7 linked regions of the Cricetulus griseus genome follow. The main gene of each other region encodes a partner of the protein of the gene in region 2 in a complex. Links are inferred from orthologs where the notes say so. Each region holds a gene or a part of one and is shown on either strand. Other genes may lie near its edges. The genes, in order: Casr, Gnai3, Rgs10, Rgs2, Grm4, Rgs8 and Trpc5.

Region 1 (3,500 bases), on a different chromosome or scaffold from region 2:
AGATAGTCCTCACTGTGTCAAGTTGACAAAAGTTAACCAGTACATTAGCATAAAACCACTGGATGGTCATCATTTCAACATGTCTTTCCTTAATGAGCATCTTCACCAAGTCATGGGCTTCGGGTTATTAATCAGTCTTTCAGATACAGTGATGCGGGGTAGGACACCTGGCCCAGTCACAAGCTTCTTCCTCTTGGTCATGGAATGAATGGCCCTTCTGGTGTATGGGTCAGCCTGGAGCTTTTTGAATACCCTCATTCTAAAATCACAGAGCTCTGTTTTGGGCTCCATTGCTGCATGGTTAATGGAAATTGGGCTAGATGGAAAAACTGTGAAAGACTGTCCCATGCATGCTGGGCATTTAGCATCCCTGAACCCCAAGTATTGAAGGCCATTATTACTTCCTGGTCATTATGACAATCTATAAAGAAGTCCCTTCAATCTCAAATTTAAATCTCCTACCCAGGGTAGGTAGGATGTCTTCCTCAATGCCACTTGCAAGCTAATGACTTAAGAGTTTTTTTTTTTTTTTTTTTTTTTTTGCCAAAAAATATTTTGCTCTGGTTGGGGGAAGTTTTAGCCTGGAAAACTTAATGACTAGCCAGGGAGTCAAAAGAGAGTTGAGTCATGAAGCTCAGGTTCCCAGGGTTCCTCTCATCACTAAACACTCTTGCAGTTCATGGGAAGCCTGGACACTCAGAGCTGGGGAACATAGGAAAAGGACATTATCCTAGAAGCTGGTGATGAATCCCAGCCCCGCCCCCGAAGCCAGTGGTCCCCGGTCTGTGGTGGCAGCATGGCATGCTTTGCTCATACCTCTCTGGAGAACCCACTCCATAGGATCTTCTCCTCATTGATGAAGAGTCTCTCGCCCTTCTTTGCATTCACGTTGTAATGCCCGACTTCCCTGAACACGATGGAGCCGTCCTCTGGGGAGAGGTGCCAGTTGATGATGGAGTAGTTCCCCACCAGGTCACCACACTCATCGAATGCCACCTGCTCCCCCATGTTGTTGGTAAAGTTGAGGTGCCGTAGGTGCTTCAGGACCTGAAGAGAAACAGAGATGAACGAAGAGGAGCCGTGGAATGCCACCAGTGGCTATGTTGGTTGTGTTCTGTCAGTATTTCATCCCACAAAGGAAGAAACCTGAAACCGAGAGGTGGCCTTTCTCCAGTTTTTCTTAGAGCGCTTGCACATTCTGAACACTCTTTTGAAGATGGGGAGGAGAAAAGAATATATCTCCCCTGACCACAGTCAAGTGAAGACCTCTGTAGGTGCATCGTGACCTTGTGGAGCCACCACCTTCCCGTCATGCCCTGAGCTGGGTGTGGGGAAGGAGAGGAGAAAGACTGAGAATTTTGTTGTCCCTGTGATTTTGAGTCTGTGGAGATGTCTTACTGCCAAAATTCAGTGTGGAGTAGAAGGAAGAAACAGAAAGACTGTGGCTGGAGCCCACTGTTGACAGTCATGGAGCATCCTTGAGTTTATCTAAGGTCTTAGAGGGTCACAGAGCCATTTTACAAAAAGCAACTATAGTAATTGCTAATACAGTGAGTTATTTAAATTTTTAAATACCATTTTACTGCCTTTGTGTTATGGTTCTTAGTGCTTTATGTTTTTTAATCACAAAAATGACATGAACACCCCCTCCCATGCCTTTTTTTCTCTTTTTTTGAGAGTCTCATTGTGTAACTCTGGCTGGCCTGGAACTCACTTTGTAGACTGGGCTGATCTCGAATGTAAAAGATCTGCCCATCTCTGCCTCCTGAGTGCAGGGATTAAAGGCACGTGCCACTATGCCTGGTTATACTCCCCATTTTATTAATTGGGAAACTGAAGTACAGAAAATTGAGGTTCTCTGTCCAGGATCCTGAGCCCATGCTTGTAAGCAAGTGCTATGCTCTGCTAAGCCTGGGTTCTACAGCGCTGAGGCACCAGGTGAGAAGACAGGTTCCATCATGGGTATGGCACACTCATTTCTCCACCACCCCAGGAGCCCTTCTCCCTGTCCCTTTTGGATCCCACTTTCCTGCCTGAGGTACAGTGAGGGCAGGCTGGGGCAGCTAAAGTGCCTCTTTCAGCCTGAGCGCTGACTTTTTGACTTGATTTTGGAAAAACTTGTTGCAGTTTAACAAAAAGTTAATACAGAGTTGCTGTTCAATTCGGTAGTGCTACACTCGGATTTAATGAATTAAATATGTCATATAAAAAACTCATGTGCGTGCAAATGTCCATAGCAACAGTACTATAATGATCCAAAGTGGAAAGAATCTGAATGTCCATCATTTGAACGAGTAGATGAATAAAACACCTCCTTACAATGGGATACTATTTGGCTACAAAGAGAAATGAAGTACTGGTGGCTCTGTTCCTAGAAATGCTACACCCACAGTTTGCTCAAACAACCTCTTCTTCCTTAGGCACTGGGTTACTGAATGCTTTCCCCATAAGGTCATGAATAAGACAAGTATGTCCGTCACCACTATGTCTAGTCAATGTCATGCTGGATATCCAGTGAAACTGGACTAAATCAAGCAGATTCAGACAAAAAAATTAAAATCTAGGTTCTATAGCCCACCTCCTGAAACCAAACACATAACAACAAAATGGCCGAATAATTTTTTTTTTATTTTATTTTTCGAGACAGGGTTTCCCTGTGGCTTTGGAGGCTGTCCTGGAACTAGCTCTTGCAGACCAGGGTGGTCTCAAACTCACAGAGATCCTCCTGCCTCTGCCTCCCGTGTGCTGGGATTAAAGGCGTGCTCCACCACCGCCCGGCTCCGACTAAATTTTTTAAAAGACACAATTTCTGGGACTGAAGAGACAGCTGACTCAGCAGTTAACAGTGCTTACTTCTCTTCCAGAGGACCCAGGTTCGGTTCCCAGCACCCACAGGATGCTGCCACTACCTGTAACTTCAGTTCCAGCAGATACAATGCCTTAACGCCTTCTTCTGGTCTCCATAGGCTCCTGCGTGTTTGTGTGACACACACACACACAGACACAGACACAGACAGACAGAAAGACAGAGAGAGAGAGAGAGAGAGAGAGAGAGAGAGAGAGAGAGAGAGAGAGAGATTCTCTGTGTAGTCTTGGTTGTCATGGAACTCACTCTACAGACCAGGCTGGCCTTGAACTCACAGAAATCTGCCTCTGCCTCTGCCTCTGGCTCCTGAGTACTGGGATTAAGGGTGTACGCACCCACCACCTGGCTTGACAGAGAAGACTTTTGTGTGTGAATGTGGTGTATATGCATGCGTGTGCATGTGCATATGCCTTTGCGTACGTGCCGCAGAGGCACAAGAAGAACATCTGGTTCTGTTTGATTTCAGGCCAGCAAATCCCAGTAATCCCCTTGTTCTGCTGTCACAGCTCGGGAGCAACAGGCACCCGGGCTGCATTTACATAGGCTTTAGGAGTCAAACTCAGGCCTTTGATGCTTGCATATCAAGTGTGCTTATCCATTGTGCCATCTCTCCAGCTCCTTGCACATACTCTTA
Region 2 (3,500 bases):
AGTGCATTATCTTGCATATTAAATGCACATTTGTGTTGGGCCATGGTGGTGCCCACACCTTTAGTCCCAGTATTCAGGAAGCAGAGGCAGTCGGATCTCTTTGAGTTCAAGTCCAGCCTGTTTTACAGAGTGAGTTCCAGGACATTCAGAGCTGTTACAGAGAGAAACCCTGTCTTGAAAAGCGCCCCCCCCCAAAAAAAACCCAACACATTTGTTGAATATTTATTTGATTAATTATTTGGCTAATTGCTATCAGGCCCAGTTGGGGCCCCTGGGAATACAGGGAAGAACAGCTTGGCAGAGCTTTTAGTGGGGAGATGAGAAAAGTAAGTCTGTTGTGAAGACACATGCTGTGAAGAAATGAGATGCTGCGGGGTGGGAGGTATTCAGGTAATTTCATCAGGAAATGTTCTGAGGGGAGCAGAAATGTGAGTGAAGAAGAAAATCTTGCAAAAATTGTTTCAGTCCAAGGGAACAGCAACTGGAAACTGTGAGTCAGAGTCTAGGCTAGTAAGAACCAGTTTTGCATGTTAGAGGAAACATGAAGAAGCTGGCTTGACAAGAGTGTTGAGGATAGAGTGGAGACAGACCAGAAATGAGGGTGAGGAGGTAGGCAGCGACCAGAGTACATTGGACCTTATTGCCCACATGTTATAATTTGGGTGTAAATAGAGGTCATGAGGCAACTCTTGTCAGTGTTGTGACATGATCCAGACAGGCATGCTATACATTTGTGATCCCACAAAGAGTTCAAGGCCAGCTTGGTCTACAGAGAGAGTTCCAGGACAGCCAAGACTACACAAAGAAACCCTGTCTTGAAAAACCTGTTTGTCCCTGCTTATATTCTGATTCTGCCCAACTATGTCACCTCCTGTCTAGCCAATCAGCCAATCAGTGTTTTATTCATTAACCAATAAGAGAAACATATGTACAGAAGAGCATTCCCCATCATTCCTTGGCAGGTTTTGTTTTTGTTTTTTTAAGATGTATTTATTATGTATGCAGTGTTCTGCCTACAGGCCAGAAGAGGGTACCAGATCTCATTATAGATGGTTGTGAACCACCATGTGGTTGCTGGGAATTGAACAGGACCTCTGGAAGAGCAGCCAGCGCTCTTAACCTCTGAGCCATCTCTCCATCCCTGCTTGCCAGTTTTGACCTTAGCGAGTTAGTTAAATGTTAGTACCATTTACTGGGATGACAAGACTAATGGAAAAGCAGCTTTGTTTGAGCTAGACATGGGGACTGAGTAACTGTCAGTATTGGGCATTAAGTTTGAGATGCTTATGGGATATCTACTGTGATATATAAGGTAGGTGATGAATTTAAAGCCAGATTTGGAAAGTAAGATTGGAGGTCTTTGGGAATCTAGCACATTCCAGCTTTGAAGTGAAACTGAGTGGAAATACTTATTTGCCAACTGCTATATAACTGTGGACAATTTCCCTGACCTTTCTGCTTCATGTATCTTATTATAAAATGAGGGTAATAGTGTCTACCTTACAGAGGTGTGAGGATTGGATGAGTTAATATTAGCAACATACATAGAACATCCTAATGTGTGCTGCTCTTTGGAGGTTAACTTTTATTCATGAATAGTGCTTCAAACCATCAAATTAGATAAGATAGGAAAAAAGACAAGGATCAACTTGGAAAATGCAGATTTGAAAGGCAGAGTTAGGCCTAGAAATGATCAATTAGCTTGCCAAAGGGTGCAAGTGGCTTGGGGACCTTGAGAAATAGTTTCAGGAGAGTGGGAATGACTTGGAGGTACTTAATTGGAGATTTTAAGTATAGATGACACACTGGGGAAATTTTGCTATAAAGAGACACAAAGAGGGGTAGCCAAGATAGCTGCTCTGTGAGTAGAGTTGCTTGTTTTTAAGTCTGAAAACCTGAATTGATCCCTGGGATACTCATGAGGAAGGAGAGAACTAACTCCTGTAGGTTGCCCTCTGACCTCCATGTATGTTCTGTCATTTGTGTTGTTGTTCCCACCCCCCAACCCCCATAAATGAGTTAATGTAATAGAGCCTTTAAAAAAGAGGCACAGGGAAGATGGAGTAGTAGAAAGGAAAATAGGTGTCGGGGGAGGGTCAGAGAAAGGTAGGGCTGGGATATGTATAATGGTTTGTGTACTAAGACTGACATAGTAAGAGGAGGAAAAACAGTGACATTTCAGTGATATTGGACACTCCGGCAGCCACAGGTGAGGGGAAAAGAAGTTGATAAGTAAATAAGTAGAGCTGTAAGAACATTGAAGAGACAGCTCATCCATTGATGAAGTAGAGAATAGTAATGGAGATACAGGTAGATTAGTAGATTTGGTTATGGAAAAATGAGGTAATGTTCTCTGGTTGCCTTTTTCTAAAAAGGAGGGAGCAGGGTTGTCATTTATGAATCAGAAGTAGCCTTTGATGATAGAGAAATGTGGTAGCGTTTTAAGAGGCATTTTGGAAGATGGACGAATTATTGAGCACGGAGGATCTGGCAGGCAGACTGTCAAGATCTGAAAATTATTTGACCTTTGATCTTTAGCCTAAGTGATTCCAGTTGACTAAGGAGGGTGATACAACCCTTCCGGGAAGAGGAGCTATATCATGAAAGGTAGAGGCAATGTTCTGCTGTTTGGAACCTTTCTAGCCCTGTGACTGAAAGGATTGCTTCTGGAACATTTCTTAGGTCCATTGGCAGGTCACAGAATTAGTAACTGTGACTAGGACATAGGCCAAAAATTCACAATTGCTCTTTTGCCTGTGTTCTTTGAGTATATCATGTTTTCTGATGTCACTGAAAATATTTGTGTTGTTGTCTTTGAGTGGTGTCTGTTTTGCACAAATGATACCAATATAAGAAAAGCAAAATGCTCTAGTTGAGAAACTCACAGTTTTCCTGATAGACATAAAAGCTCACCAAAATTTCACAGAACCTATGTTTTCTGTTAACTTAGGCTTACCAGTCACATGACTCTATACCTTTGACTACAGAGAAACTCAACATCTATTTTTGTTGTTTTTCTTTTCAGGTGCTGGAGAATCTGGTAAAAGTACCATTGTGAAACAGATGAAGTAAGTTCACACAGGGCCTGAATCTCTCCCTCTTTATAGAAAGTTCATAATGTTTTTGTTTTTTCATTCATAGTATTGACTTGTGGTTTTCTTCTTTTTGAAGAATCATTCATGAGGATGGCTACTCAGAGGATGAATGTAAACAGTATAAAGTAGTTGTCTACAGCAATACTATTCAGTCCATCATTGCAATCATAAGAGCCATGGGACGGCTAAAGATTGATTTTGGGGAAGCTGCCAGAGCAGTAAGTATTTCTCATTTCCTCTTCACTTGCTGTTCTTTTGTAGATGTAGTTAAGCCAAATTTGCGTCAGGTTTTAGGGAACAAGAAGATAAGATGGTGTAAAATACTGTGTACTTATTTTTGAAGTGCTGGCTATCTGACTCAATAGATAGCAAGTTACTGCTACAGGCAGAGCCCTGGAAATGAGA
Region 3 (2,288 bases), on a different chromosome or scaffold from region 2:
CAAGGCACCTCCAGCCTTCCAAGTAGATGCCCTGAGGCCTCAGCCCCATGAGTGTTGGGAGAAGGCAGGTTTAAAGATGTCAGGATTTTGCCACCCACTTGGCAACCCCGCCTGACAGTGAATGGCATTCTGGAACTTTCCATTCAGCCAAGCCTGAGCTAGTGTTGTACAGCAAAGCACCTTGGTGTGCCTTGTGGCTCAGAGAGAGAGAGAGTACTCTACATCAGCAGGAAAATGTACCCTTCCTTCCTTTCCTTCTCCATGTTGTAGGGTCAGGGAAGGTGAGCAGGAGTGAATCGGGGATCCAGGGGGCGTGGCCCAGAGACAGCCTCCACAAAGCACATGTGGCATGCATAGGGCCAGCAGATGCAGCTCTTTCTAGTCCCCAGGACTCAGGCTCCATCACGGGTCCTTCTCAGTGTGCCTCACTGCCTTCTAGACACCTCTGCCTGTCCAGCTGTGCAGGGGTCTGCCCTGCTGCTGACTTCTCTGCTCTCTGCACCTGAGACAGGTCCTGCAGCCTCTCCTGATGGAGACTGAATGTGCACTCCCTCTCCTGCATGAGATATGCTCCCCTTGTCTCTCGGTGTGGTCATATGTTTGAGATCTCTAACACCAAACTTACTGGGTTTTAATATTTGGCTTTAAAAAGATTTTGTTATTGTTGTTTTTGAGACAAGGTCTCACGTAGCTCAAGCTGGAGTCACACTCACTGTGTAGCTGAGGCTGAGCTTGAACTTGAGTGCCGGGTTCACAGGCGTGTGCCACTGTTCCTAGCCAGCTGAGATTCTTAAAGGGCCATTTCAGGCTGTGTGTTTCTATACTTCCATGGAAAATAAAGATGTATTTGTGCATGTGTTCTCTAGTCTATAGAGTCCATTGAGACCATTACACGATGAACAAAAATGTCTAGGATGTCTGCCTTGTCCAGCACAGCCCTACCCTGGTGTTGTTCTTGTTATTATAATTAGTGTGTGATTGTGTGACGTGTGTGTCAGTGTGGGCATGTACATGCTATGGCCTGTATGTGGAGGACAACCTTTGGAAGTCAGTCTCTTGTTCTACTGTGATTCTTGGGGATGGAACACAGGTCATCAGGCTTGCGTAGCAAACACTCATTTGTAACTACTGAGCCATTTCATAGGTCCCATACTAGCATGCATTTGTGTGTGTGTGTGTGTGTGTGTGTGTGTGTGTGTGTGTGTGTGTGTGTGTGCTCACGCCAAGTGCACAAGGGTATTATTCTTTGGCCCTTGGTAGGTCTTTGACATGGTGACTCATGGTCTGAGTTGGCAGTAGCCCTCAGGCTCTCTCTCCTTCCCCTCTAGATCTTCAATCTCATGAAGTATGACAGCTACAGCCGATTCTTGAAGTCTGACTTGTTTTTGAAACACAACTGTACTGATGAAGAGGAAGAAGAGCCTCCCGACGCTCAAACCGCAGCTAAACGTGCTTCCAGAATTTACAACACATGAGCCCGAGAGCTAAGACCTTCACCACCACCACCACCACCACCCCCCATGGCGCAGAGGATGGACTCTTGGAACTGTGCAGGGCTGTCATTGCTTCGTTATGTTTGAGGACTGAAGTATGCAAGACCTCCCCACAAGATATGTGTATTTTATTAACGGTTTGACCAGTAAAGTAACTCCTGCATGTTAGCTAACCCTCCATTAAAAACAAAAGTAGCTTTAAAGTTTCCGTTCACAAAACAAATGCGATTTCTCCAATACTGGATACTCACAGCATTTTAAGCTTAATTAAATTCCCTGAGAGTCCACAAGTGAAGCCCTTAGCCGCTTCTGCTCTGTTAGCCTTCGCCTCATCTTTCTGGCCTGGGCTGTGCGCATCCAAGACTCTTGGTCTGACAAACACAAGAGTGGTGGGCATTGTTTGCTGATTGCTTTGGGGTTGGATTGTTCTGGAGAGAAGTCCAGTGCTGTCTAAAGCAGATCTCTGACAGCTGCGAAAGATTCAGGGAGTTGAATGACAGCTTTAGCAAAGGGCTGTTATTTCTCATATGGGTGGGGGGGGGGTGTGGGGAACGACTGGTCCCTTAATCCATGGCATTTCACGCAACACACACGCTTGAAGTTCATTTCCACGGAAACACTATTTTAGGCAAGGGGAAAAACAAAAGCGAAACCAGTCAGGGCTGGAGACTGCTCCCAGTTGTGTCCAGTGGGACCTCAGCATGAGATGTTGGGGTTAATGGGATGTTCCCCCTTTCCCTTCTACCGCCTAGGGTCAAATCAACCCCGCACCTTCTCCGGCCTTTCTTCATTTGT
Region 4 (4,062 bases), on a different chromosome or scaffold from region 2:
GTCCTAGGTTGCTGGCTTTCTGATCCACTACCCAACTTTGAATCAATAGTTCTGAGTGATGTTTCCTAACACCCAGGCTGAATTCAAGGTCAGTCTTTTGGCAGGTCACAGCCTTTTCGTCTTGGGAGACAATGAAATGTCCTCTGTTGGGGGCTCCTGGCCTCATGTAGCATGGGGCTCCGTGGTGATCTGTGGCTTTTTACACAAGTCCTGGTAGAATTCTGACTCCAAGAAGCGAGGGTAAGAATTGTTCTCCATCAAGCTGTATACCCTCTTCTGGGCTGTTGTAAAACAGCCACTTGTAGCCTCTTGGATATTTTGGGCAATCAGCGTTTTTGTTTGAAAGTCTATGTTTATCTGAAACCAAAAATAAAACAAAGCTTGATTTATTTGGTATCCAACATTATAAATCAATGCTTAATAACAAAACACAAAAGATGTAATATGTGATCAGTTCTCACTGTCAGATTGGAAAAACTGAAATGCTAGGATAGCTGGGGTGGGGAGCCCCAGCTCTTCCCACTGGCACTTTAACTGGTGTATCCAATTCTTGTGCTTCACTATGGGGTTGAAGATGTCCAAATTATGCTGACACCAATAACTTGTTTTCTTACCTCTTTGGGAGCTTCCTTTTCTATGAAGTCAGTATATATTTTTCTTGCTTTGGAGGACAGTTTTTGGGGTGACTTGGTTTTTTTGAAGTCTTCACAAGCCAACCAGAATTCAATATTTTCTTCACAGAACTCAGATTTTAAAAACGCCCTGAATGCAGCAAGCCCATCTGAAAGCACAGGAAAACAAGCATGTAGAATGTAAATTGAGTGACCAGATAACACATGGTTCTTTTAGTACTAGAATGATCGATCAGCTTTCTAGATTTCACTCAAACCTGTCATTCTCACACTTTAGCTCTTTAAGCACTAAGATGCCAGCAGGCAAAATGCTTAACTTTGCATTCTGCAACGACGACAACAAAATATACTGAACTTCACCGTCAATGCAAAATAAATATTTAGAGGACAGTCATCCATTAGTTCTCTGGGAACTAGGGCTTTTGAAAATATTCTATGCAATGGAAAAGCTGACTCAACCCTAACTATGAGTAAGTCGTTTTAATTTTTAGGCTAATTTTTCTTCCTAACTTTCACAAGTTAGGCTAACTTTATTCCTGAAGTGAATACCTCATGCTTTTCCATGATTAAACTGGAGGACGAGGGGAAAGAAAAGCAGGCTTTATGAAGTAAATGGTGCTAATGTCTGATGCACTTCCTGCTAGCTGCTCATTTGTGGTGTAGACACAACATTTCTAGGCTCTTGGGATGCTGGTGAAAGATCAAATTCAAGAGGTTAACTTACATTTACTGGCCAGCAGTTCATCGAATGCTTCTGCCCAGAGCAGCGCTTCCTCAGGAGAAGGCCTGCAAGAGAAGTTCCGAACATGAGCTATATAAACCACACATAATAGTTCCCCTCTCCTGTTCAATGGCTAGACATTCTGTTCTGCAAGTACAGGAGTTGCAACTTACTTGATAAAAGTTTGCTGTTTGCTTTTCTTGCCAGTTTTGGGTTTCCCAGGAGTGGAGGAATTTTGCAAGAAGTAGCTCAAACGGGTCTTCCAATCCTTCAAGCTAGAAAAGAAAAAAGGAGAGGAAAAAAATACTTCAAGCTGCAATTCTTGAATAGTGAAATTATCACCAGTTGCAGTAGCATATGGTCAGTCACCAAACAAACCAGACAGGCAAGAACAGTCCATGCCATATGTGGGATATTTAAACCCAGCACCTCATGGATTGAACCCAGCATAGGACTACATAACACAGCTAGGATATTTAAAATTTTCACAAGTTATTTCTGACCTACGAAAAAGGTAGCGGTTTTTCTGCATGGTTAACTACAACTTGGAGACAATTAATGATTGAGAACTGCCGTGTGTTGAGCCAGCTGATGTTCCTTCCCTTTCTGTGCTAGAGGCAGGAGGGTCTGGTCCAAGATACAGGCGGTGCATAGAGGGGTGTGTGTGTGTGGTGTGTGTGTGTGGGGTGTGTGTGTGTGTGTGGTGTGTGGTGTGTGAGTGTGTGTGTGTGTGTGTGTGTGTGTGTGTGTGTGTGTGTGTGTGTCCCGAGCTCCCCCTCCGCGACCTCCCACAGTGCTTCTCCGCAGCAGATACTGCAGAGCAAATTACTCATTCCACAGTCGTGACTGGATGAGACCTATTTTATGATTTAAAACCGTATCTAAAGCGAATACATTCGGAATCATCCCAAACATTACCCAGCAGCTGTGTAAGCAGCTCAGACCTCACAATGCAATGTATGGGCGCTGCGGATCCTATTCAGCTGCAGAATACTCATGTCACCTTACATGCAGAACAAAAAGCCAGCCATCGCCTTCTCAGCCCAGCTACCGCCGCCACCTTCCTAACAACTTCCCATAGTTGAAACTCTACGCTCACACAGAAAAAAGCACAACCACGAGATCTAGCAAGCTGACTTTTCCTTCTTTCTTCCCCCCGCCCCCCCGCTTTCTCTGCAGAGGTGCAGACCGGAGTTAGCTCAAGTCAAAGCCGAGATGGAAGGAAGGTCGGTCCCGAGCAGCAAAGCCATGCGGGGTAAGAGCTCTCAGGAAGAGAGGGCATACTCACAGCGTCCGCTTCATTTTCTCCCGCTTCTCCTCGACCTTGGGGCCGTTGCCTGCGCTCTTGTCCATGGGTACGCAGTCGTGCTGGACAGCCAGGAACATGGCACTTTGCATACTAAGACTCCGGCGGCCACCGCAGCTGTTTGCAGCCGGGCGCGCGCCGCGGTCTTTTAAGGCCGGCTGCGGAACAGGGGCGGGGCCCGGAGGCGTCGGCTCCGCCTTTCGAGGGTGCGGATTGGCCCGCTGCAGACGGCGCGAGGGAGGGGTCGCACGGGCCTGCGGCAGTCACGGCGGCAGCCGAAGGGTCTGGAAGCCAGGGCGCTGCTGACGTAGGTGCCGCAGCCTCGTGCGCACACAGGCGGGGAGGCGGAGGGCGGGGACAGCGCGGGATCCCTGCTCGCTTGTTCGGGTGGCCCCAGCCGTGCAGGGTTCCCGAGTTCGTGACTTTTCCTTAAGGCCGTACCTTTTCCTTTCCTTTTATCTTTTTTCGAGCCCCGCCTTTGCAACTCATGCTTTGTTCACGATCTTTTAGATGCACCGGGACACCTATACACTGCAGCGGGCAGGGGGAGAGCCCTACCGCCCCACCCACACTCCACCTATTTCGGGGAAGGACTTAAACAACTAGAGAAACCCGAAACAAGGGCTTCTGAGCTAAGTACTGTGATTCTCTGTTCGCTCAGGCATCTTGGAATTCCTTATGGGAACGCACGCTGGTCAGGGAGGAAGAAGGAGAAAGTGCCTATTAAAACCCGGTGTTTTAAATGATTCTGCATTTTTGATCTTTAAACGCCTGGCTGCAGAAGGCTGTGACGTTGCAGGGTCATTCCCCAGGAGATCTGAAGGGCGTCTCTAGGCGGGCACGGCACAGATCTGAGTGATAGAGAGAAACACAAAGGGAAACCCGAGATCTTGCGGTTCTGATACACTCGGATCGTTTGTAGTTTCCGAGTGTAAGGAATCAGGATTTCCTAATGAGTCATTCTTAGTTGGGCAGGCTTAGAATTTGCCAGATATTCACCTGCTTAAATTAAGGGGTGGGGGTGTGAGGCTAGAGCTGGATGTGAGAGTCGGGAGGTGTAAAGTTTGCTTGGACAAGCTTCATTTGTCAGTTCTTCAGAAACCCATCTCTACTCCCGCAGGTTTTAAAATGCCCTGATCTGTAAGAACAAATACATGACTTCAACTACAAACTGATTCAGCTTCCTATGTTACGGGAGTGATGCGGCGGAATACCTAAGTGGTTTTCCCATGAAGTCAGGGCAGATAGATTAACAACGAAGTTATGGTCATTCTGCTTCACACTAGACCTTACTAAAAGAAAAATAGAGGCACATTCCTCAAACTGGAACGAGGCAATACATTGCTACAAGCTGCGGGTAGCTGAGCTCCAGGTTTGAATTGGGGAACAAAGTCTGAAGTCAC
Region 5 (3,999 bases), about 180 Mb from region 2:
AGACAGACACACACACACACACACACACACACACACAGGGACAGACACCCATATGCCCCAGAGCTGGAGAGCCATCTCTCGTTCTGAGCTTGCCCTGCCCACCCTCCCCAGGTTAACCTTCTTGCCTCTGTAATGGCTGCTGAGCTTCTGGCCCAGGCTCTCATCTCTATCAGTTTCATTAGTGAAGACGCCTCTAGTCCCAGCTTAGAGCATTAACTAAGAGGACCTAGGGAGCACAGACCATGGCCTCTGGATGCCCTCCCTCTCTTTACAGACCAGCAGGCCATGCAGCTGCCCACTCACAATGCACATTGATCCCTGTGTTCACACAGGCACAGACCAAGCAGCCAGACCTCTTCACACCTGACCAACAGGACAGGGAACAAGGAGGCCTGAGGCCTGAGCCCTGGCTCCTATCATACCAACTGTGCCCATCCTTGGGCGGAATAGCACAGAAATACCAGCTACCCCCATCTCGGGGGGCTTTGAGCCCGTTGTCCCCAGATACATGTACTCCTGAGATTGTGCTTAGAAGTCTAACATCCAGACAGGCCATTCTGTGGGCTCAGCACACAGAAAGTCGGGGGCCGGTGGCTCCCCCATCCCAGAGGTGAAGTGGATACTGGGAGGGCCCTTCACTCTTGAGCACCATACAAGGCTCTATTGCTATGAGCTAGAGGCTGGGCCAACATCACTGGGAGCACAGTTGGGTGGCCCAGGCTGCCTTCCTCCCAGGCCTGGCAGGGCCTAGATGACTCAGCTGTCCCAGTCATCAGTGGAACAGGCCTGGGACAGCCAGCCCCAGTCTTCCCATTGTCCCCGCTTCTCCGTGAGGCTGGAGGCATGGGCGGACCCAAGCAGGCTGTTCACTCCAATGCAGTACTCTGAGATCAGGACAATGGGATCCCCAGGGACTCCTTGAAATGCCCACTGCCGGAGCGTCTTCTCCTCAGAGCTTCCTGCTGCTCCTACACCCAAATCAAGTCAAACCAACCGCTCAGGAAAAGGCCACCCTGGGACCACAGCAGGCGCACACACGTGTGCACACACATTTATGAAGGCTGCAGATGTGGGCAGGGTATGCACTCCGCAGGGGTTGCCTGAGATTAGCCATGGCTAAATTCTATCCCGCCAAACAGAGAGCTTCATCTCCATTCACCCCTGCTGGAGGCACACGCACCACAGCATCCTGGGCGCTGGCCCGTCTTCAGAGTTAGACAGATGAGCTCAGGATGAGAGGGACTGGCTTCCTCTCCTCCCACCCCAAGTGGTCCAAACAGCCTTTCCCAGGCCTCAGCAAGCTCTGGAGACCAGGACAAAAGGACCCAGAGGAAAGACTTAGAGGGGACCAGTGTCCTCTTCCTCCCGCTCACAGACAGAGCAAGAGAGGCAGGCGTGGGGGTGGGGAGCAGGGACATGATTGTTGGTAAAAGGCTTGTACCGTTTCTTCCCTCTCCCCAGTAGCTTTCAGTTGTTTTAGCAGCTTAGCAAGCACTTGGCTCCAATTGAATTGCAAATCAGCAGCTCTTGCCCCGGGAAGAGAAGAAGGGAGGTGGTGGAGGGGGCAGGGAGGGGCTGGGAAGGAACAGGAGAAAGTCGTAAAGGAGGAGGGCAGAGGGCAGAGGGCAGAGGGCAAGGGCAGAGGGGAGGGTGGGAGGGAGGCCAGGGCTAGGTTCAGGTAACCAGGCTAAGGCTGAATTAGCTGGCTCCCTCTTCCTCTCTTCATGCCCCTGGACCCACAATCCCACCCCCATCTGAAAACCAGGACACTCTTCTCCAGCCAGAACTGAAGGGCGGGATGAGAGGGCCACCAGGGCCTTCCTCAACTAACCAGAAAAAAAAAAAAAAAACACATCTTTCTTGGGAATTGCAATTATTTGAAAACAATGTCAAAACAAAAGTCTCGCTTTATCCCCCTGGCAATCTGCAACACTGTGGTTTCCATTCTATATTTTGTCTGTCTGCCCTTCCATCGATCCAGCTGTCTTCCATCTGTCTGTCTGCCTCTCTCTTATGTTCCTTCACACTTCCAACCCCCTCCAGGCTCAGGGTCTGAAGGAGGAGCTAAGGCAGACGCTGCCTCAGAACCATGGTCAGCACCAAGTCCTATGTCTCAGCCCCACCCTCACTTCTCTCAGCCCCGCCCAAGCTTCAAACACTGGATCCGGCCCCAGAGCCAAGAGGGTGGCCTCCGTTCTCATACAGTCTCCCACACAATCAGGAAGAGGAGGAGGAGGAAGGAGTCGCCGGCCAGGAGCCCTGGGCCATGGAGGGCACTAACCTTGAAGAGGCGGAGGATGTTGGCCACCATGATTGAGACGGAGCTCCCTGAAGCTCCAATGACACCCACCACTCTCTCAGGCTTGGTGATGATGGGTGGGCCACCGCTGCCACAGCGGACCTCCGTGCCGTCCTTCTCGATGAGCGCCTGCACAAAGGTCAGGGACTGCTCCAGGGCATGGGTGTCCCTGGAGCAGGTGTCCAGAATGCGGGCACCCAGCGTGATGTTGGGCAGTAGGTCCGGATCGTTGTTGATGCGATCCAAAGCGAAGAGCATGGCCTCCAGCCGGTGGATACCCTTCTCCTTCTTCAGCTCCCCACAGGCTTTACCCTCGGAGCCGCGGCCATGGACAGGAAACAGGCCCCCCAGCGTGATGTCCCCGTCAATTCGGATAGAGTTCATGTGGGGGTGGCCCTTGGGCTTCCCTAGGGATGAAGGCACCCAGGGGCCACAAAGGCTAAGGAGAAGGCAGAGGGGCAGCCGGGCCCACCACCAGCCCCAGCCTCCCTTCCCAGACATTTCGAAAAGGCCTAGAGACCCATGAATAATGGGCCCCACTCCTAGCCTGAGCAGGCCCTGGGTCCCACGGCCTGTGTACACATGAGCAGGGCAGCTTCAGCAGCAGGGTGGCTGGAGACGGCCAACGGACCGGCCCATTCCACAGCTCTCCCCTGTTCTTTGTTGATACTTGAACAGAGCTCAGTGCTCAGTGGCCCACACAGGCCAAATCCACAGACGACAGAAAGTGGCCAGAGCTACAGGAGGTCTCAGATCCTTGTCCCCATGTCCTGCAGGCCAGATTGCCGTGTCTGGCTGTGGAAAGGGAGGTGAGCTCCTATCCTGGCATGATCTTTGCATCGAGGAGAAAACAGCTCCAATCACTGCTACCAACCTGGAAAAGAGAGAGAGAGAGAGACTATCAACCCAGCCTGAAGAAGACATTTACTATTCTGACTCCTCATCAGGAGCCTGGGAGAGGGAGCCCAGAGGTTATCGCCAAAGACGCCATAAATCTCTACTTGATTTTCACTGCTGTGGCCCAGCTCCTGAGGAAATGCAGAGCTGGGAACAGAAACTGGGTCATGTTTAAAGACCTCCGCTGGCCTGGACCCATTGCCCTCACAGGCCAGGCCTCTGAGAGAGGACTCCTAGGGACAGCCAGCATGGCTGGGGAGGAATGGGCCCCTCAGCATGCCTTGAGAAGCTATAGCAAAACACCAATCCTGCCAGTCCAGCCTCATGATAGAAACAGGAAACTGAAGCCCCAGCAGAAGTCTATGCCAAGTTCCACAGATACTTCCCACCCTAGCTCTGAACAAGAAACAGCTGTTTGGGGAACCCACTGTTTGTGGCACCCAGTCTTGAGGGACCCAGAGTCCAGGAGGATAGCAGCCTGCCCAAGAAGGCTGGGGTGCTGACTGGGCCCAGGCCAGGAGCTGCAAGCCAAAGGCTAGGAAGAAGTGGGGATCTGGGGTTCAGAGCTGGTCCCCCACTTCCACATGTCCACCCCAGCCATAGAAGCGCCCAAGCAGAGGGAGAAGCCGGGTTCCTTCCTCCTGCCCCTCCCCCTGCCTCGGTCTCCTGGTCTCCTCTGGCCTCCCTCCCTCCACTCTGTGCCCTAGTGGGGCTCGGGTTGCAGCCTGAGCCCCTCTACGTTATTGTCATCATTGTTGTTGTTGTTGTGATTAAATATTTATCTGCAGGGTAGAGGAGAAAAC
Region 6 (3,500 bases), on a different chromosome or scaffold from region 2:
AGCTTGGTCAAAACAAGTCAGGGATGGTTCCTGCATGTTCTTCCTTGTGGCTTCTCGGGTCTGGAAATCGATATTCACCTGGAGATACAAAGAGAGAGCAAGGTCACAGGCCCTCAAAGGCCAAGGCACTTTCTGGATAGTGGGTCCAAGCTACAGAACAACCATCAATGCAGTATCTCACATCTTTAGGGTCACGGATGCTTCTCAAACTGCTTTTACAGGGTTCGTTCCTGGGGATTCCAGCAGAAATGCTGTGGAGTCTGAAGTCCAGGTAGTCTTAAATTGTAAATAAGGTAAGTGAAGAAAAGCGACACCAGCAGGGCGTGGTGGCGCACGCCTTTAATCCCAGTGCTCAGGAGGCAGAGGCAGGCAGATCTCTGTGAGTTCAAGGCCAGCCCGGTTCACAGAGTGAGTTCCAGGACAATCAGCATTATGAAAGGAGACCATTTCTTGATGATGATGATGATGATGATGATGATGATAATAATAATAATAATAATATAGAAAAGAAAGAAATACTACAAAACTTGTCTAAAGTAGGTTGGATTAGTACCAGAACCATGGCAAGAATCCTCAAGTCAACAAATCCTAAACAAGAATCTTCATTCCACACTAAGCTGAGTCTCCAGCCAGATATTAATAAGGTTCCCCTAAGTTTTCCATCTCATTCTTTCTTAACCACCAAGGCCAATGGATGCCCAGTATAGACAGACCCTGGTAAACATACATCTCTCTATGTGTCATCATTTGGGGCCAATAGCATTCTACCAAGTTTGTAAAGGTCTCACACCCCAAGTCAAAGCCAAACCTCAATACAGATTGCAAACTGTTCATCAATTAAAGCCTCCAGAGGGACATGCTGCATTAAAACTCAGAACAGCTATGCATAATTATAATACAGCAATGAAAGTGACTGTAGATATTCATTAATGAGCAGTGGCAAACACTCAGTAGGTGCTTTACCTCTAACACAGCGTAGCCTTGAAAGGCAAGTAGCATTATCCTATCTTACACTGGGGAAGATAAGACTCAGAGAGTTTGAATAAGTTAAGGATGATCACACATAGTGGCAGAACTGAGACTACAAACAAAATCCTTTAAGAGGGTACTTATTCCATTAAGTTATTGCATGCTTGTTTGTTAGGGTGTGTGTGTGTGTGTGTGTGTGTGTGTGTGTGTGTGTGTGTGTACACGAGTGTGCACGCTTCTGTGCAGAGGACAATTTCTCTCCTTTTATCATGTGGGTTCTAGAAATCAAACTAAGGTCATCAGGCTTGGCAGCAGGTGCCTTTACTCAATGAGTCAATTCAGCGGCCCCCATACTGCTTTGAATAGGAAAACAGACATGGGCTCCAGGGAACGTACTCTTGTGAAACCACTGCGGTAACACGTGTCAGGCAGACAGAAACCACTCCTAATGCATCTCCTTTCATGAAAACCTGGATCTTCCACTTCTCAAAAGCTACCCTTTCTCATCAGGATCCACCACAGTTGGGAGGCCCATTGGGATTGGAGGAAATCCTGGGGGCTTGGCTTAAATGCCCTCCAAGACCTCAGGAGACAGTTTCCATGACCAACACACCTCCCGTGGAGCCTGCACATCCACAAACTCCTCAAAGATCCTGTGGGCCTTGGAGACCAGCTTTGCAGTCGACCGGGTCTTCTTGAACTCTTCGCAGGCTAGCCAGAACTCCAGGTTCTCCTCGCTGAACTCTGTCTTCAGGAAGGCACGGAAGGCCGCCACTCCATCTACAGAAAGAGGTGGGAGAAAAGGAAGGAAGAGAAGGCTTAATTCCAAGACTGCTGTTTCGGGAAAAACAGTCCTATTGTGATGGTGTCCTCATTGTCCAAGCCTGCTGCTTTTACACACACACACACACACACACACACACACACACACACACACACACACACACACGACACACAGCTCTCCTCAGAGAAAGCTTCTTGTCCAAGGGCCAGTGTGGAATATCCAAGAGAAATGTTTAAAATCCCATAATAATGACAACAGTGGGTAAACTTGGTCACTTCTGATAAAGCCTGCCTGCCCGTTGATGCAGAGTTGGCTGAGCCCCAGGCCTGGTGGTAAGCCTGTGTTGCTCAAGTTAATAGGCACTATACATTCTCTGCCCTAAGGAATCCACACCAGAGAGAAGACATGGGCAGCTGTAAGACAAACTGGACAGGAGTATACATGTCTCAGAGCCAACCTTTTACTGCTATCAGAAACACATCAAATAGAAACTCAGTTCAGTCTGCTGCATGGATAAGATAGCACTCTGTGAGTCTTTAAGGAAATCCTTGAGGATGTGTATTTGGCAGTTTTTTTAGTCTATTCATTTTTGCTTTGAAATTTGCCTATCAAATTAGATTTTTAAAACATTTTTAAAGTTACAGTTATTTGGGTGCGAGTGTGTGTGTGTGTGTGTGTGTGTGTGTGTGTGTGTGTGTGTGTGTGTTTATGTGGGGGGAGTCAAAGGACACAGTTCTTTGCACGAGACAGCTCTCTACTTCCCATGTGGGACCTGGGGATGGCCCTCAGGCCCTCTAGCTTTGTAACTGGTGTATTTGCCTACTAAACCATGTCGCTGACCCAGGTTATAGGCTTTAATTGAGGTCGAGTATAATTTTCCTGCCAATTTATCTAATGGCTAATCCAGCCTTTCCTCTTACTAATCAATGTCATATGTCCTGCCAAGCTTTCCATCCACACAGATAAGCGGGGGAGGAAAATAACAGCTATTTATAGCATGCACTTCCAGTTGCACTTTTATTTGAAAAAGTTTTAATCAACTGTTTTAACTCTTGACTCACTCTCTTCTGTTGGAATGACAATGACAGCTTCCTAGAAAGGGTCCTCAAAGTGAAGAATAAGGTGCCAAAATGGTGAACAAACATGGCTCAATGACCATTTTTATTTCTTTTGTAAAATTCATGTTACTATTTTTGGCACTGGGCAGTGAACCCAATCCTCTCGTATACTATGCAAGTGCTCTGCTGCCAAGGTATGTGGCATTTTTCATCCTTTCTATGTTGTTGCTGGTCTTTAATTCACTTCATAGCCCAAGCAAGGCTCAAGCCTGAGATGACAGACTGGTACAACTAATCCTAGTTCAACAAACCCATCTCTCTTTGCGTGTGTGTGTGTGTGTGTGTGTGTGTGTGTGTGTGTGTGTGTGTGTGTGTGTGACACCTGAGTATGCCGGTGTACACACATGTGAATGGATGTGCTGGGTCCAGAACAGGAGGCTGGGGTGTCTTGAGAGAGGCTCTCTCACTGAAGCAGAAGGCTTCTTTTACCTAAGTTGATTCCTAAGGACAACAAGCTCTCAGGAATCAACTGTCTCTCTTCACCAATTCAGAGGCTACAGGCATGAGCAGTCAGGCCGGGCCTGTAACATGAGTGCTAGGGATTTGTACTCAGGTCATCATCCTTGCAAAGAAAGCAGTCTTACCTACTAAGCTATCTCTCAAACCCTGGCACTTTTTAATTCTATGTC
Region 7 (4,155 bases), on a different chromosome or scaffold from region 2:
AGTACAAGTAGTCAATGAGGAATGTGAAGAAATTTGATCTGTAAATCACAAAGCAAGAGCTCTCCCTTGTGATTCATTCTGTATGATTGCAGGCAAAGGTGCTTTTATTTTCTTGGTCTTCCAGAGAAAATGTAAACACAGTGCTGGAGCTCAGTAAAAATCTATTTAGTTTTCACTTTACAATCAGTTCTGTTAAGTGTGATCTGACCTTAGACCTGGCACAAACAAAACAGACCATTCATTTGTTGGAATTAAATCAAATTGATTCTCCAGTCTGATAGTTTCAGAGTCTGGAATGGTGGCAGAAAAAAATCAGAGGTGGCTTTAGGGAGTGAGTCCATGCTCATCTTTTGCGGATGGCTTTGGCTTGTTGGAGTCAATACTTCTCCAATGACCACTGCCAAGGAAGAGAGCTGCACTTAACACTAAACCATATATGAATGTATGTATGTATATAATATATATGTATATATACATATATATATATATATATATATTCCCTTTTGTCTTTTGTTAAATACATGGTCTCATTATCTTAGGTCAGCCTTGAACTCATTTTGTGGCCAAGGATGACCCTGAACTTCTGATTCTCCTTCCTCTGCCCTCTGAGTGTTGGGATTGCAGACATGCACATATCCAGCTCATGTGGAGCTAGGTATCCAGCATAGGGTTTTGTGGATGCTAGACAAGCATTCTACTACCTGAACTATATTCCTAGCTCCTAAAATAGTACTCCATTCTGAAATGTGCATCCAGAACAGTGGCAAATGTAAGCTTGAAATTTCGATTTTAAAAGACCCACAGACCCCAGAGCCCAAATGAATCTGGCCCTAAGCAAGGAGCAACTTAACACCACTAATCAGAAGTATTACCATGGGTACTTTCAGCAATGGAAGGGGAGGAAAATTTCAGTGTAAGCTGTGCTGTGTCTTAGGAGATTTGGTAATATATAACTCCTTTAACTATATAAGTAGCTTTTCAAAGTAGGAGTTATTCTCTAGCATGAGACTTGGTAAACACTAGATGACAACTTGCTAATGATATTAATATGAATAACCTTAGCAACAAATGTGGTAAAGGGTTTGATTAACTTGTGCAAGATCCCAGAGCCACTAAGTGTTAAATTAGTGTTCTAGCCCAAGTCATTGTGACTAAAGCTTGGGCTTTTGCTGCTCTGCTCCTCAGCAACAGGGAAACAACGTTGTCATTCAGATGCTTTGGGGTTTTGAAATCCCATTAGAAAGGGATTAGTAAATGGCCATTTGAAACCTTCAGGTAACTAAAATTTTCTTTCGTCTTCCTCTGTCTCTCTCTCTCTCTCTCTCCACACTTAGCTTTCTAAATTGCTATGAACCATGGCCCAGCTTTACTACAAAAAGGTCAATTACTCACCATACAGAGACCGCATCCCCCTCCAAATCGTGAGGGCTGAGACTGAGCTCTCTGCTGAAGAGAAGGCCTTCCTTAATGCCGTGGAGAAGGGGGATTATGCCACCGTGAAACAGGCACTGCAGGAGGCCGAGATCTACTACAATGTCAACATCAACTGCATGGATCCTTTGGGCAGGAGCGCCCTGCTCATTGCCATTGAGAACGAGAACCTAGAGATCATGGAGCTACTGCTGAACCACAGTGTGTATGTCGGCGATGCATTACTCTATGCCATCCGCAAGGAAGTGGTGGGCGCTGTGGAGCTTCTTCTTAGCTACAGAAAGCCCAGTGGAGAGAAGCAGGTAAGAGAATTCGCAATAGGCTGGAAGCAGCCACAATGTCAGGGCACCAGAGTTCCAAGGCAAGATTCAGCAGTCTGGAATCGAGAAGCCCTGACTTAGAAACTGTGATCAGTTGTCTCAGGAGCTTCCACCAGAGCTGCCCTGGATGGTCCCCGCCAGGTTACTCTTTTGCTTTGTCTTTTGTTCTTAGTTACTCAAATACATTCAATACTTAACAGTGCAAAGGCATGTTTGTCATGTTTAGACTATGCAAAATCTTGCCACTTTCTTTACCACCTCCCATTATATCTTCGTTTCCTTCCTTTACTCAAATGTTACACGATACAAAAGAGACCAAACCCAGACCTGCACTTTCTCCTGGGAGGCTTTTCTTCCACAGAAAAGACAAGAAGACTTTAGCCCCGAGTGCCATAGTGCAAACAAAACTAGAAACCTCCTTTATTTTTCTTAGTACACGCTATGTGACTGAATTTTCCTCATAGGTGTTTGTGGGTTTGCTTCTATGAGTCTCTTAGTCTCTAAGTCACAGAAACTTGGTATGTTTGATTTCTCAGTCAAATCTGGTGCCCATGTTCAACCCCTATGGTTTCTCCATCGCTCTCTGTTTCCTCTCTAAGCCCGTTAGCATTAGTATGGCCTGTTCTGTCATCACTCTCCTAAATAAGAGTTTCTCAAAGTGTGGCCTCTAGACTGGCAGCAGCAGCGTTTCCTGAGAACTTATGAAGGACGCAAAGTCTTAGTTCTCCACTACAATGGTACTCAATCATAAGCTCTGGGACGCTGCCCAACAAGCTGTGCCTTAACAGGCCTTCAAGGGGATTCTGATTCACACTCAGGTTTGAGAATCACTGTCCTACACTGTCATGAATTTTTTTTTCTCATTAGTCTCCCTGCATCAATTCTTTTTGCAGCTCTGAAGCCATTCTGAAGAGTCTGGCTGGCTTATCCTTTAGTACTACCATGTCCTCTATTAGTTTGTCTCCCATTGTTAGGAGAAAATGTTTGAGGTGATGGACTTTATAAAGCAGAGACTTGTTTTGCTCACTGTGTTTTAGAGGCCAGATACTCAAGATAAAGTGGCTTATCTAATAAACCTTTGATGAGGGCCTTCTTGCTTATATTAGCAACACGGTGAAGAAATGGAAATGGAGCTGGTCAAATATAGGAGACAAATCAGCATCTTGAGGAACATGGAGAGTGAAAACAGTCATCCTCAAGTATTATGAGATATGGCCAAAGCTGGGTTTGAAGGAAATCTTTAGCTTTCAATACTGACTCATTTAGGAAATGAGCAATGAAAATAAACTAAATGGCAACTCACAAAGTACTGGAATTGACAGACTGGAAAATGGAGTAAAAATCAGAAACTGGCAGATTAGCAGTTCCTTGAGGAAAACGCCTAAATCCCCTTCCCCATCAGCTTGTACAGTACCCAAGAAAGTAAAGATCCCATCTCTCTTGCTCCTTGCTATCTCACACTACCAGCACAAAGTACCTGATAATTTTTTATTTCATGAATAAGTAATATGCCACCATCACTGGCTTTGCATCTTAACATGACTTACTCCATTTAAACCTCCAGGGAACTCTATAAGCTAGATATTATTATTCTTTATTGCTATTGTTAGTATTATTGTTGTCATCATCATCATCCCTGTTTGCCGTTGAGAAATGGGATTGTTAAATTGCTCTTTTAAGATCATATTAGAGCTGGAGTTCAAGCTCCTAATCCTTTTTAATCACTAGGATCTGATCACACAACTGAATCAGGCTGTTGCAAAAAGTTTGGCACCAAAGGCTGGAGAGCTGGATCATTAAGAACATGTATTGCTCTAGCAGAGGACCTGAGTTCAATACCCAGCACCTAAGCTGGGTGTTTTGTAACCACCTATTACTCAGTTCCAGGATAGTCTATGCCTTTTTTTTTTTTTTTTTTTGGTCTCCACAAGTACCTTCGCTCACATACACAGACACAGAGACACACAAACACACAAAATTAGAAATAATAACATTGGTCTTTTAAATGTCAGCAACATTAAAAGGCATCTGAATGCACAACAATCAAAACTTCATTCAGACTCGCCACATGCAGTGAATCTCAGTTGTTTCTGGCAACGATAATTCTTGATGTCTCTATCACACAGCCTCATTGCAGCCTTGGTTCTGAACACTCAATACGCACCATTTACATTGCACACACTAGCACTGTACACAATGTCAATGACACGTCTCAGCTTGGATTTGAGAAGATTGACTGATATGAACTGCAGTGATTTTATTTTACATACCAAGAGTTATGTTATTGTAGAAACATGATGATATAGTTATGGAAAACAAAGACTCTTAATAGTATTTTTCTTATAATCCCTCAGCATGTTAAGTATTAAATTAGTATATCTTGGGATTAGATTGCTAGAATGTT

The links.
Region 1: the proteins of Gnai3 (region 2) and Casr are in contact, whole or in part, in a cryo-EM structure (PDB 8SZH), measured with the Homo sapiens proteins. The link is inferred for Cricetulus griseus from reciprocal best matches to the Homo sapiens genes GNAI3 and CASR. Residues at the interface, in NP_006487.1 of Homo sapiens: Ala31, Lys32, Gln304, Glu308, Lys314, Asp315, Thr316, Lys317, Glu318, Ile319, Tyr320, Thr321, Phe334, Asp337, Ala338, Thr340, Asp341, Ile343, Ile344, Lys345, Asn347, Leu348, Glu350, Cys351, Gly352, Leu353, Tyr354; in NP_000379.3 of Homo sapiens: Lys644, Ala645, Asn647, Arg701, Val702, Val705, Phe706, Ala708, Lys709, Pro711, Thr712, Arg716, Trp719, Phe801, Ile869, Val872, Arg873, Thr876, Ala877, Ala880, Phe881, Lys882, Val883, Ala884, Ala885, Arg886.
Region 3: the proteins of Gnai3 (region 2) and Rgs10 are in contact, whole or in part, in a crystal structure (PDB 2IHB), measured with the Homo sapiens proteins. The link is inferred for Cricetulus griseus from reciprocal best matches to the Homo sapiens genes GNAI3 and RGS10. Residues at the interface, in NP_006487.1 of Homo sapiens: Val71, Val72, Ser75, Glu115, Val179, Lys180, Thr181, Thr182, Gly183, Ile184, Val185, Gln204, Ser206, Glu207, Lys209, Lys210, His213, Ala235, Glu236; in NP_001005339.1 of Homo sapiens: Glu62, Phe63, Ser64, Glu66, Asn67, Ala102, Ser103, Ser104, Gln105, Val106, Asn107, Val108, Glu109, Gly110, Leu137, Lys139, Tyr140, Asp141, Ser142, Arg145.
Region 4: the proteins of Gnai3 (region 2) and Rgs2 are in contact, whole or in part, in a crystal structure (PDB 2V4Z), measured with the Homo sapiens proteins. The link is inferred for Cricetulus griseus from reciprocal best matches to the Homo sapiens genes GNAI3 and RGS2. Residues at the interface, in NP_006487.1 of Homo sapiens: Val179, Lys180, Thr181, Thr182, Gly183, Ile184, Val185, Gln204, Ser206, Glu207, Lys209, Lys210, His213, Ala235, Glu236, Asp237, Glu238; in NP_002914.1 of Homo sapiens: Glu104, Phe105, Glu108, Asn109, Glu143, Ala144, Pro145, Glu147, Ile148, Asn149, Asp151, Phe152, Leu180, Asn183, Ser185, Arg188.
Region 5: the proteins of Gnai3 (region 2) and Grm4 are in contact, whole or in part, in a cryo-EM structure (PDB 8JD6), measured with the Homo sapiens proteins. The link is inferred for Cricetulus griseus from reciprocal best matches to the Homo sapiens genes GNAI3 and GRM4. Residues at the interface, in NP_006487.1 of Homo sapiens: Ala31, Lys32, Val34, Lys192, Asp193, Leu194, Thr219, Phe336, Thr340, Ile343, Ile344, Asn347, Leu348, Cys351, Gly352, Leu353, Tyr354; in NP_000832.1 of Homo sapiens: Pro616, Lys619, Ala620, Gly622, Arg623, Glu624, Arg676, Ile677, Ile680, Phe681, Gln683, Gly684, Lys685, Arg686, Ser687, Val688, Ser689, Ala690, Ile694, Ser695, Pro696, Phe781.
Region 6: the proteins of Gnai3 (region 2) and Rgs8 are in contact, whole or in part, in a crystal structure (PDB 2ODE), measured with the Homo sapiens proteins. The link is inferred for Cricetulus griseus from reciprocal best matches to the Homo sapiens genes GNAI3 and RGS8. Residues at the interface, in NP_006487.1 of Homo sapiens: Glu65, Gln68, Ser75, Val179, Lys180, Thr181, Thr182, Gly183, Ile184, Val185, Gln204, Ser206, Glu207, Lys209, Lys210, His213, Ala235, Glu236, Asp237, Glu238; in NP_001095920.1 of Homo sapiens: Thr76, Glu77, Phe78, Ser79, Glu81, Asn82, Ala117, Pro118, Glu120, Val121, Asn122, Ile123, Asp124, Phe125, Gln126, Arg128, Leu153, Lys156, Asp157, Ser158, Arg161, Arg164.
Region 7: the proteins of Gnai3 (region 2) and Trpc5 are in contact, whole or in part, in a cryo-EM structure (PDB 8GVX), measured with the Homo sapiens proteins. The link is inferred for Cricetulus griseus from reciprocal best matches to the Homo sapiens genes GNAI3 and TRPC5. Residues at the interface, in NP_006487.1 of Homo sapiens: Arg205, Arg208, Lys209, Trp211, Ile212, His213, Phe215, Glu216, Glu245, Leu249, Ser252, Asn256, Lys257, Trp258, Arg312; in NP_036603.1 of Homo sapiens: Thr27, Glu32, Glu33, Glu56, Ile57, Tyr58, Tyr59, Asn60, Lys125, Pro128, Thr129, Leu130, Met131.

What each region holds. Positions count from the first base shown.
Region 1 is NC_048597.1:53,509,209-53,512,708, reverse strand, and holds part of Casr (extracellular calcium-sensing receptor), read right to left. Parts: intron 1,048-3,500; coding exon 815-1,047; intron 1-814. UniProt on the Homo sapiens protein: G-protein-coupled receptor that senses changes in the extracellular concentration of calcium ions and plays a key role in maintaining calcium homeostasis.
Region 2 is NW_023276806.1:49,009,574-49,013,073, forward strand, and holds part of Gnai3 (guanine nucleotide-binding protein G(i) subunit alpha), read left to right. Parts: intron 1-3,025; coding exon 3,026-3,068; intron 3,069-3,171; coding exon 3,172-3,313; intron 3,314-3,500. UniProt on the Homo sapiens protein: Heterotrimeric guanine nucleotide-binding proteins (G proteins) function as transducers downstream of G protein-coupled receptors (GPCRs) in numerous signaling cascades.
Region 3 is NC_048596.1:72,430,592-72,432,879, forward strand, and holds the end of Rgs10 (regulator of G-protein signaling 10), read left to right. Parts: intron 1-1,328; coding exon 1,329-1,475; 3' UTR 1,476-1,788; downstream 1,789-2,288. UniProt on the Homo sapiens protein: Regulates G protein-coupled receptor signaling cascades, including signaling downstream of the muscarinic acetylcholine receptor CHRM2.
Region 4 is NC_048598.1:46,447,451-46,451,512, reverse strand, and holds the start of Rgs2 (regulator of G-protein signaling 2), read right to left. Parts: upstream 2,801-4,062; 5' UTR 2,752-2,800; coding exon 2,642-2,751; intron 1,629-2,641; coding exon 1,527-1,628; intron 1,419-1,526; coding exon 1,357-1,418; intron 782-1,356; coding exon 615-781; intron 358-614; coding exon 163-357; 3' UTR 1-162. UniProt on the Homo sapiens protein: Regulates G protein-coupled receptor signaling cascades. Inhibits signal transduction by increasing the GTPase activity of G protein alpha subunits, thereby driving them into their inactive GDP-bound form.
Region 5 is NW_023276806.1:232,654,377-232,658,375, forward strand, and holds the start of Grm4 (metabotropic glutamate receptor 4), read right to left. Parts: upstream 2,801-3,999; coding exon 2,282-2,800; intron 1-2,281.
Region 6 is NC_048598.1:38,008,659-38,012,158, forward strand, and holds part of Rgs8 (regulator of G-protein signaling 8), read right to left. Parts: intron 1,750-3,500; coding exon 1,583-1,749; intron 79-1,582; coding exon 1-78. UniProt on the Homo sapiens protein: Regulates G protein-coupled receptor signaling cascades, including signaling via muscarinic acetylcholine receptor CHRM2 and dopamine receptor DRD2.
Region 7 is NC_048604.1:36,233,620-36,237,774, forward strand, and holds the start of Trpc5 (short transient receptor potential channel 5), read left to right. Parts: upstream 1-1,355; coding exon 1,356-1,733; intron 1,734-4,155. UniProt on the Homo sapiens protein: Forms a receptor-activated non-selective calcium permeant cation channel. Mediates calcium-dependent phosphatidylserine externalization and apoptosis in neurons via its association with PLSCR1.